Kluyveromyces lactis: one gene and its partner. The protein of the gene in region 2 purifies or fractionates together with the protein of the main gene of each other region. This does not show direct contact. Links are inferred from orthologs where the notes say so. Each region holds a gene or a part of one and is shown on either strand. Other genes may lie near its edges. The genes, in order: HRR25 and EDE1.

What was found.
Region 1: the proteins of EDE1 (region 2) and HRR25 purify together in Saccharomyces cerevisiae (affinity purification with mass spectrometry; 4 studies listed by BioGRID, with this or other methods). This does not show direct contact. The link is inferred for Kluyveromyces lactis from reciprocal best matches to the Saccharomyces cerevisiae genes EDE1 and HRR25.

The regions. Positions count from the first base shown.
Region 1 is NC_006040.1:264,257-268,062, reverse strand, and holds HRR25 (serine/threonine protein kinase HRR25), read right to left. Parts: upstream 2,303-3,806; coding exon 785-2,302; downstream 1-784. Other genes in the region: cAMP-dependent protein kinase catalytic subunit TPK2, read right to left, coding at 1-130; NPY1 (NAD(+) diphosphatase), read left to right, coding at 3,093-3,806. UniProt on the Saccharomyces cerevisiae protein: Protein kinase which phosphorylates serine and threonine residues. Can use casein as a substrate. Phosphorylates elongator complex member ELP1/IKI3 on 'Ser-1198' and 'Ser-1202' which promotes the tRNA modification function of the complex.
Region 2 is NC_006041.1:513,752-518,046, reverse strand, and holds the start of EDE1 (Ede1p), read right to left. Parts: upstream 2,967-4,295; coding exon 1-2,966. Other genes in the region: KLLA0_E05765g (uncharacterized protein), read left to right, coding at 3,249-3,695; RSM7 (mitochondrial 37S ribosomal protein uS7m), read right to left, coding at 3,768-4,295. UniProt on the Saccharomyces cerevisiae protein: Functions at the internalization step of the clathrin-mediated endocytosis (CME) as an early-acting scaffold protein. Requires clathrin adapter proteins, ENT1/2 and YAP1801/2, for normal spatiotemporal dynamics and viability.

The DNA of each region.
Region 1 (3,806 bases), on a different chromosome or scaffold from region 2:
ATTCCTTCTGCTGAGCCAATAAATAATCGGTAGATTGTGAACCCACGGTCACATCCGCCGGATTCACAGGATTGGTTGCAGGAGCTGGAGCAGTATTCATCTGTTGTAAATTCACAGGCTGATATTCCATCCTCTTGTTTTCCTTTTCCCTTGGGGTCAAAATCCCCTAGTTTACTCTAATGAATAAACAGTACAAAATGGGACAAACCAGTTTTTGCCTTAATTATAGCTTTGGACTGATAGTCTTATATGGATATTGCACTTTTTCAAGACTCAATGCGCCCTAGATTGCTCTCTTTTTCTCACCACAGTTGACTCTCCTTTTGTTGTTAGTTTTCCTTTGGTCTAGTTTTTCACAATTCACTGTTCATGTGAGGAACAGAAACCCTTTTTCGATATTTAGTAGTGGAATTCGTATATTGCGATAATGGCCTTGCCAAGGATGAGGAGGGAAACTTCAGCAGCAGCAACAATGAGCTGTGAACTGCGAGTACCGTAAACCTGTGTCAGCTGCCGATTCAGTAACCAGCTTACTTTCATGGTTGCTCATGTTGGTGAGAAAATCCCTGTGTGTGTTCTCCCCCATGTTCCACTATTCAAGTACATATAAGAAAGAAATATAAGTGTGAATTAGGTAACAGATTTCCGAGTTATAATTTATAACCAATGTGGGTTAGAAGCCCATGATTAACTGATGATGAGTTGTATATATGTATGAGCGTGTGTGATTTTTTCTACTCTACAGATTTTGCAACTGTTTGCGCATTGTTTTCGTCTTTTGCGTTTAAAGCCAGATATTATTGGTAGTGGTAGTTTTGGTGGTGTTATTAGGGTTTGGTAGTGGGTTGGTGATAGCCATTGCATTTGGATGCGTTTGTTGTTGTGTTTGCAGTTGCTGTTGCAGAAGCTGTTGTTGCTGCTGTTGTTGCTGCTGTTGTTGTTGTTGTTGTTGTTGCTGTTGTAACATCTGTTCTTGTTGACCTTGAACTTGTGCCCTTTGCTGTTGTAGTAACGTGGTAGGTTGAGGTAACTGTGTATCTAGTTGCTGACCTGATTGTGGTTGTCCTTGTCCCTGAGTTTGTCCTTGTCCCTGAGTTTGTCCTTGTGGTTGTCCTTGTTGTGGTTGAGACGCCACCTGTTGGTTCACTTCGTGCTTCAACTGTTCCATGTTTCTGTCGATAGCATTCATGACTTCATCTGGGATCGTGGAGATAACTTGGGTGTTTAGGATAGTCTGTTGTTTTATGTCTTCAGCAGTTGGATGAGAAGTATCATCTGGTTTCCAATAGTGGAAATGTGTTGAAAATTTCTTCATAGCCAATTGTTTCACTTTATCAAATGAATCCTGTTTATTACCATTTTCATCTTTTTGTTCCAATGCTTGGGCGCCTCCTTGTTTGTCGATCATGGCTTTTGTGTAACGCAACATGGTCCAATCAAACAAATGATCATTATGGTATTCCAACTTGATGAACAAATCCTTGAACAAACGAGCCAAATACATATAATCTGGTCTTTCATCGAATCTGAGGTTCCTACAATATCTCATGTATTCAACAAATTCCATAGGTAAACCTTGACATAGTTGTTCGACGGTGATGCACAATTTCTTTTCCATGATACGGTCGTATTTTTGTCTTTTTGTCGTGGCTCTGAGCCCCTGCCATGGTAAGGACCCTTTGCAGAAATATATCAACACGTAACCCAAACTCTCCAAATCGTCACGTCTACTTTGTTCGATCCCAAGATGCGTATTGACACTGGCATAACGTGCAGTACCAGTAAGGTTCTTATTTTCTCGGTATGGGATATGGTTATGACTTCTAAAATCTCTATACTTCTTGGATAAACCAAAATCAATAACATGCACGGTGGATCCACGTCTTCCGACACCCATCAAGAAATTGTCCGGTTTAATATCTCTATGAATGAAAGATCTGCCATGAATGTATTGGATTCGACAGATCATCTGCAGAGCAAGCATGATTACGGTCTTAAAAGAAAATTTCCTATGACAATAGTTAAATAAATCTTCCAAAGACGGACCCAAAAGATCGATCACCATAGCATTGTATTCACCTTCCTTCCCAAACCATCTGATGAATGGTATTCCAATACCGCCGCTCAAATACTTATAAACTCGAGACTCATAGTCTAATTGAGGATGCTTCGTACGAATCGGCTCCAACTTAATAGCGACTTCTTCACCACTAATCAAATTAGTCCCATGATAAATGTCCCCAAAGGAACCAGAGCCAATCTTCCGCCCAATCCTGAACTTTCTACCAACTCTTAAATCCATCTTTCTTTTTCGTTCCTTATGTCTGTCTTCTCCTGTTCACGTCTTACCTTCAATATTTCTAATCAAATGAAAGTATATATACCGCAGAACCTCAAAATAAGTCTTTATATCCACGTTCTCATGTACAAGCTCAAATACCAGAAATATCAAGTAAGATATTTTTATCCTATAATCAAACTCAACTGGAAACAAACGTACAGTGAGATATGTCAGTTGCTTGTTGCTTTATTGCTTCTCAACTTCACAAAATTGAGAGGGAAATTCTGCAACTAAACCTGAAGTTCTGAAATGAAAAAAAAAAAAAAATAAACCAAAACAGAGACCAAAAAAAAGGTCAAATTCCTAAGTATATAGTTGGGGAAAGATGGACGTTTTGAAACTATACTTTGATATCTGAGTTTCCGTATCAGTTAACCTGTGTTATGACACCAAATGGCCCACTAAATTCTCCGTCTAATGCTCTAACTCCACCAATGAAATATCAAACATGGTGATTAATTGTGGTTAAGTTGATTTCAATTTCAATTTTTGGTACAAAAAATAATAGTGTTTCTTTTTTCTACGAAGGGGATAGTAGAAACTTATGATCACGTGATATATGGTAGGGTAATTTCCAAAGCATGGTTTGCAGTCACATCCACATAATGACCGGGAACAGTTGGATTTATACGTGTATATTCAGTGCACAACCTAGTCGCATTGTCGTTTTGATCGCTGGAGAGGTTGTTGTACTTGGAGTTCGATCAATTTAGTACCCGTATAGTGTGGTTAGCCTGATAGCGCAGTACATATGGAAAGAAGTGTAACCTTTTTCGGATTGGAAACTATCAATAGAGTGTCATTCCTAAGGGACGACGAGGTTTTCATCAAGCAAGCGTTCGAACATGGAAGTACTCAGTTTGTACCGTTTATCAATGGGGCAGCATTCGCAACTGAGACTAGTGACAAGTCTGGTACCAATTTATTAATGTTAGGACATCAAGGTTGTCCTAACTACTCGGAATGGCCAGGCTTACTAAACAAGATAAGATCTGTCATGGATACCGAGAGAGGATGGTTAGTTGAATCCGGGTTCACAATAACGTTTTTAGGGTTGATGGATGGTGACAGCAGTTTTTCTTACAAGGAGTACACCGGTACCCCATTGTTTGCCATGGATTTGCGGCCAGCGTCCGATACTCTAGTTCAAAAGTCGGAGACAAAGTTCATACTAGATCAATACGAACCACTTGGGAGGATGCAAGCATTCAACCTAAGCAATGAAGTTGCTTCGCTCTTCTCTCATGCAAACATGTACTTAGATTGGCTGAGAAAGTTTTTGTTTTGTCCCGGATGTGCATCGAAAGTATTTCCTGTCCATGGTGGAACCAAATTACAATGTGGAAATAACGACGAATCTGTTAAATGCTCGGTAAGGGACGCAGCTGTTTCAAATGTGTGTTTCCCAAGAACAGATCCAGTGGTCATTGTTGCAATCGTAGACAGATGTTTCTCAAAAATATGT
Region 2 (4,295 bases):
TCATTGTTTTCAGCATCTTCCAGCTGTTGATCAATGTCTAGGACAGCGTTTTCCTTTGGCTCACTCTCGACTTCGTCTCTAACTGATTGAGGTGGATTGTTGGCTGTCGACGATGTGACAGATTCTGTTCTAGGGATGCCGTATTCGTTTAAACTTCCTTCGAAAGAATCTGCCATCGCTTCGGCAGCAACTTCATCATTACCCTGCTGGTCATGTAATTGCTGCTCGCTTAATTGATCATCTTCTAATTGTTGATTTTGTTCTTCGTCAGGTTCAGTTTGTGAGACAGGAGTTGGAACATCTTTGTCGAAAACACTTTCTGGTTTTTCCTCCTCCTCAGCTGGCTGGGCAGTCTGAATTTGCAGTCTTTTTTGAATCAATTCGTTTGTATACTCATCATCAGGGGTTTCTCCCATGGCTAACTTCATTTGATTCTCAGAGAATTTTTGGACTCTATCGGCATAGTCATACTGTTGCTTCTCAAACTCTGCATTTGCTGCTTCAAACTCCGACTTCCTTTTATTCAAATCATTAAATAGTTCTTGCAACCTCGATACTTGATCACGGTATAGTTGTTCCTGCTTTTCTATCTCTGCTGTTCTGGATTGAACTTCCAATTCACGTGCATGTACTTCTTCAGAAGTTGCAAGGTATTGCTTATGTTTGTTTTCCATCTCAGCGTGCTGAGCCTCAATAGTAGCTTTGTAGTCATCCAATTCTTTGTGCTTTGATAAGTAGATACCAAGGGTTTGTTCAAGACTTTGAATTTCTGTTTGAAGATTGTTGGCAGTCATCTCTGAAAGTTCTAACTGCTTGGCATGAATATCGACTCTGGATCTTTCAGCTTTAGCATTCTCTTGAACTTCAGCCAACTGTTGCTGTAACTGAGAGGACAAAGTGTTAAACTGGGCCAACCTCTCCTTTAACTGCCTTTCCTCTTCTTGAGCTTGTTGCAACTGTGTTTGCAAATCCTCGTTCTGAGTCTGCACAGCATGATAATTTGCCTCTGCAACAGAAGCTTGTTGACTTAACTCTTCGTTTTGTGCACGAAGAGCGTTCAATTGCGTCTGTATCTCCTCCGTTTGACGAACTTCTTCATTGTAAGACGCACGCAAACCAATGAGTTTAGTCTCGATCGATGCCTTCATGTTAGTTATACGAGTAAGTTCATTCTGAGCAGCTGTTTTCTCTTCATGAACTTTCGTAGCTTGTGTCGTTAATGAACTCACCTGAGTGGAGAGATTTGCAAGTTCAGTAGTGGCCTGAGAAAGCGATGCCGGTGGCACAATTTCACGATTGTTAGAAGTGACTTCCCTCGAAGGGACAGAAACACCTCCAAAGTTTGGAACACTTGGTAACGAAGAATTACGTGCAGTGGGTGGTGGAGGAGGAGCTGCAGAGCCTACGTGTGTAGGAGCAGTTTGCATATACTGCTGCTGCTGCTGCTGCTGCTGTTGTTGTTGTTGCTGGTCGTTACCACCTTCTTCAGGGATAATGGTTTGTCCAAATGTAGATGAAGGTCTAAATTTCCTAGCATTTGGTGCCAAATGTGTTGAAGGCTGAGCCGATGATTGTGGCTGGGAAGGAAGAGATGGAGGCGGAGGAGTGAATGATTCATTTAGACCAAGCAAGTCATCCAGAGCGCTATTACTGGTTTTCTGAGCTTGAACCGGAGCTGCAAAATTTTGGTAATTTTGACCAGCATCTCCGGTGCTTGCTACACTAATGCGCTGTTGTTGTTGTTGTTGTTGTTGTTGATGGTACAAACCTAAAGCTGGCGAATTTAATAATTGATCAGGAACAACATCTGGCAATTCGATCCCGGCATTCTTCTTCTGAATTAAAAACATTGCAATCGCAAATTCAACCTTAGTGAAAACTGGACTGTTATGAATATCAGCAAGATCCCACACAGTTGCTAAGACATCCTGTCCCAATTTCGATGTCAAAAAAAATGGAACTAAGACGTTAGAACCTAAGGAACCCTTTTTCTCTTTATCCAAAGAATCGAAAATAGCGTCAAACTGCTGCTTTTTTTCAAGAGTCAAGGTCCAATCTGTTGCAGCATTAGAAAAAGTACCGGATGGAAGTCTGGACAAAGAAGGTTTTCTGATAATTCCCGGATTTCTGACAACAGATCCACTGCCAGATGTGAAAGAGAAGCCTGTGTTATTGGCGCTCAGTGGAGTCAGAGTAGAAGATGCTGTACTATTCAAAGAATTCCACAAATAATTTGGCAAAGTAGAAGGTAAGTTTTGAACGGCTGCGTTTTGCTGTAGTGTTAGCTGAATCAAATGCATCGCCATAACAAACTCCACTTTATCCAAGCTTCCGCTATTGCTCCTGTCACACAACCCCCAAATAGTACCTAGAGTTTGAGTTGGTAACTTTGCTTTAAGGAAGATTTCTCTTGCTTTATTACCAGCTAGGAAACCGCTTTCTTCCGTTGATCTGTCAAATAATTGGGCAAACTTGGCATAATCATGAGGAGTGCATACAGGAATGACGGAATAAGTTGGCGACGAACCCGTATTAGTTCTGCTCACCGATCTATTGATAACAGAGGGGACTCTCTGGACAGAATGAGACTGATTTGATGGTGGTGGGATAGATGGTTGTGTAGAAGCAGAGTTGAACTTTTGACTTTGTCCGAATGAAGGGAGCTTCGAAGCAGGAGTCTGATACAATTCTAAAGTAACTTGCGCACCTGGATTTTCCTGTAAGTGCGCAACCATTCTTAGAGCGGCGTTAAATTGATCAACAGTTAAGAAGCCCGCGTTTTCGGTATCGCAAATGGTCCATATTTGCGACAACTGTTGCGGAGTTAACCCTGATTGACTAAACAAAGGTCTTAAAGCTTCTCCAGTCACAATTCCCAATTGTTCTCTATCTAACCGAGAAAAGTGCTGGGAAAATGCTTGCTTTTCCTCACTAGTGAGGGGTACACGGAACGCAATACCTGACATGGTTCCCAGAGGCGTGGTGGATGTGTATCTGTTGCAGTTTATCGGCTATATTTCACGAAAGGGGTTTCGACCATTTGATCCAATTTGTCGTTATTCAATTATCTCAAAAAGATGATGAAACTATATAATCGTGCAAGATGACTTTCGGATCGCATAAAGAAGTGAAGCATTGATGTAGGATTAAGGTTTCCAATGCGATGAGAGAGTTGAGTTTATCACTTCATTTAGAAATTGTGTAGAGTGTATGCAACTCTTATTGAGAGTTTTTATGAAAATTGATAAATGATAAGATATAAATACGCAGTAACATTTTTCTCGAGTGTATGTTTTGTTGTCTTCCTCGGATTAACTACTGATGCCAGGTTAAAGCTAATAACATCAACTCATGATAAGCTCGCCCATTGCATAGTATTTTGCATTGAAACCGTTCTGTTTACCATGATGTTTGAATGTGATACCGTACAGTTGCCGGCATTCATCCCCAAAAGACTACGATCAAGGAATTTGGCTGCGTACGAACCTTTTTCCATGAACAAATATCTATTGGCATTTATTGTATGCTGCGTATGTGCCAGTACGAGCAGTGAATTTGCACAACAGTTCCTCTCACGAGGAAAAAGGTCCTTTGATGTAAACGATATTTTGGCCAATTTTTCGGGAAGTCTGCTGGGCCTAGGAATTGCATATAAGATAGAGCAACAAATTCAGCATAACTATGAAAATCGATAACGTTCATTTATATTTCACGTATACATATGTACAGGTTTATTCAAGTAAATACAGTGGAGGTTGGAACTTTGATCATTTTAGGTTAATGTAAGCTCTGTGTGCAATAGCAGTCTTATGAATAGAGTCTCTCTTTTCGAAACCTGAACTATTACCGTTGAAGACAGATACCAATTCTTCACCAAGTCTTACTGAGAAATCGCTCGATGATCTCTTCACAGAACTTTCCACAATCCATTTCCAAGCTAATCTAAACCTTTGTCTTTGATTCAATGGAACTGGAACCACAGTGGCCTTTGCGACACCAGTCTTGAAGGTCTTGATAACCATAAGAGGCGCCAACACATCCAAGGATTCTTTCAAAACTTTTACCGGGTCTTTCCTTGTTTGACAGAACACAATATATAACGCTCTTGAAAGAATCTTCTCAGCTCTTTCTCTTTTCCCGTGTCTCATAATCATATTCGTTACATGCTGTAAAACTGGATCCTGTTTTTTTGGAATGGGAACTTGCTTCAACGTTTCCCATTCATTTATTTGCTCTTGACTTGGCTCAAAGCTGGGCTTGTTCAATTCCATAGCCTTCTCCAAGATATTAATTCT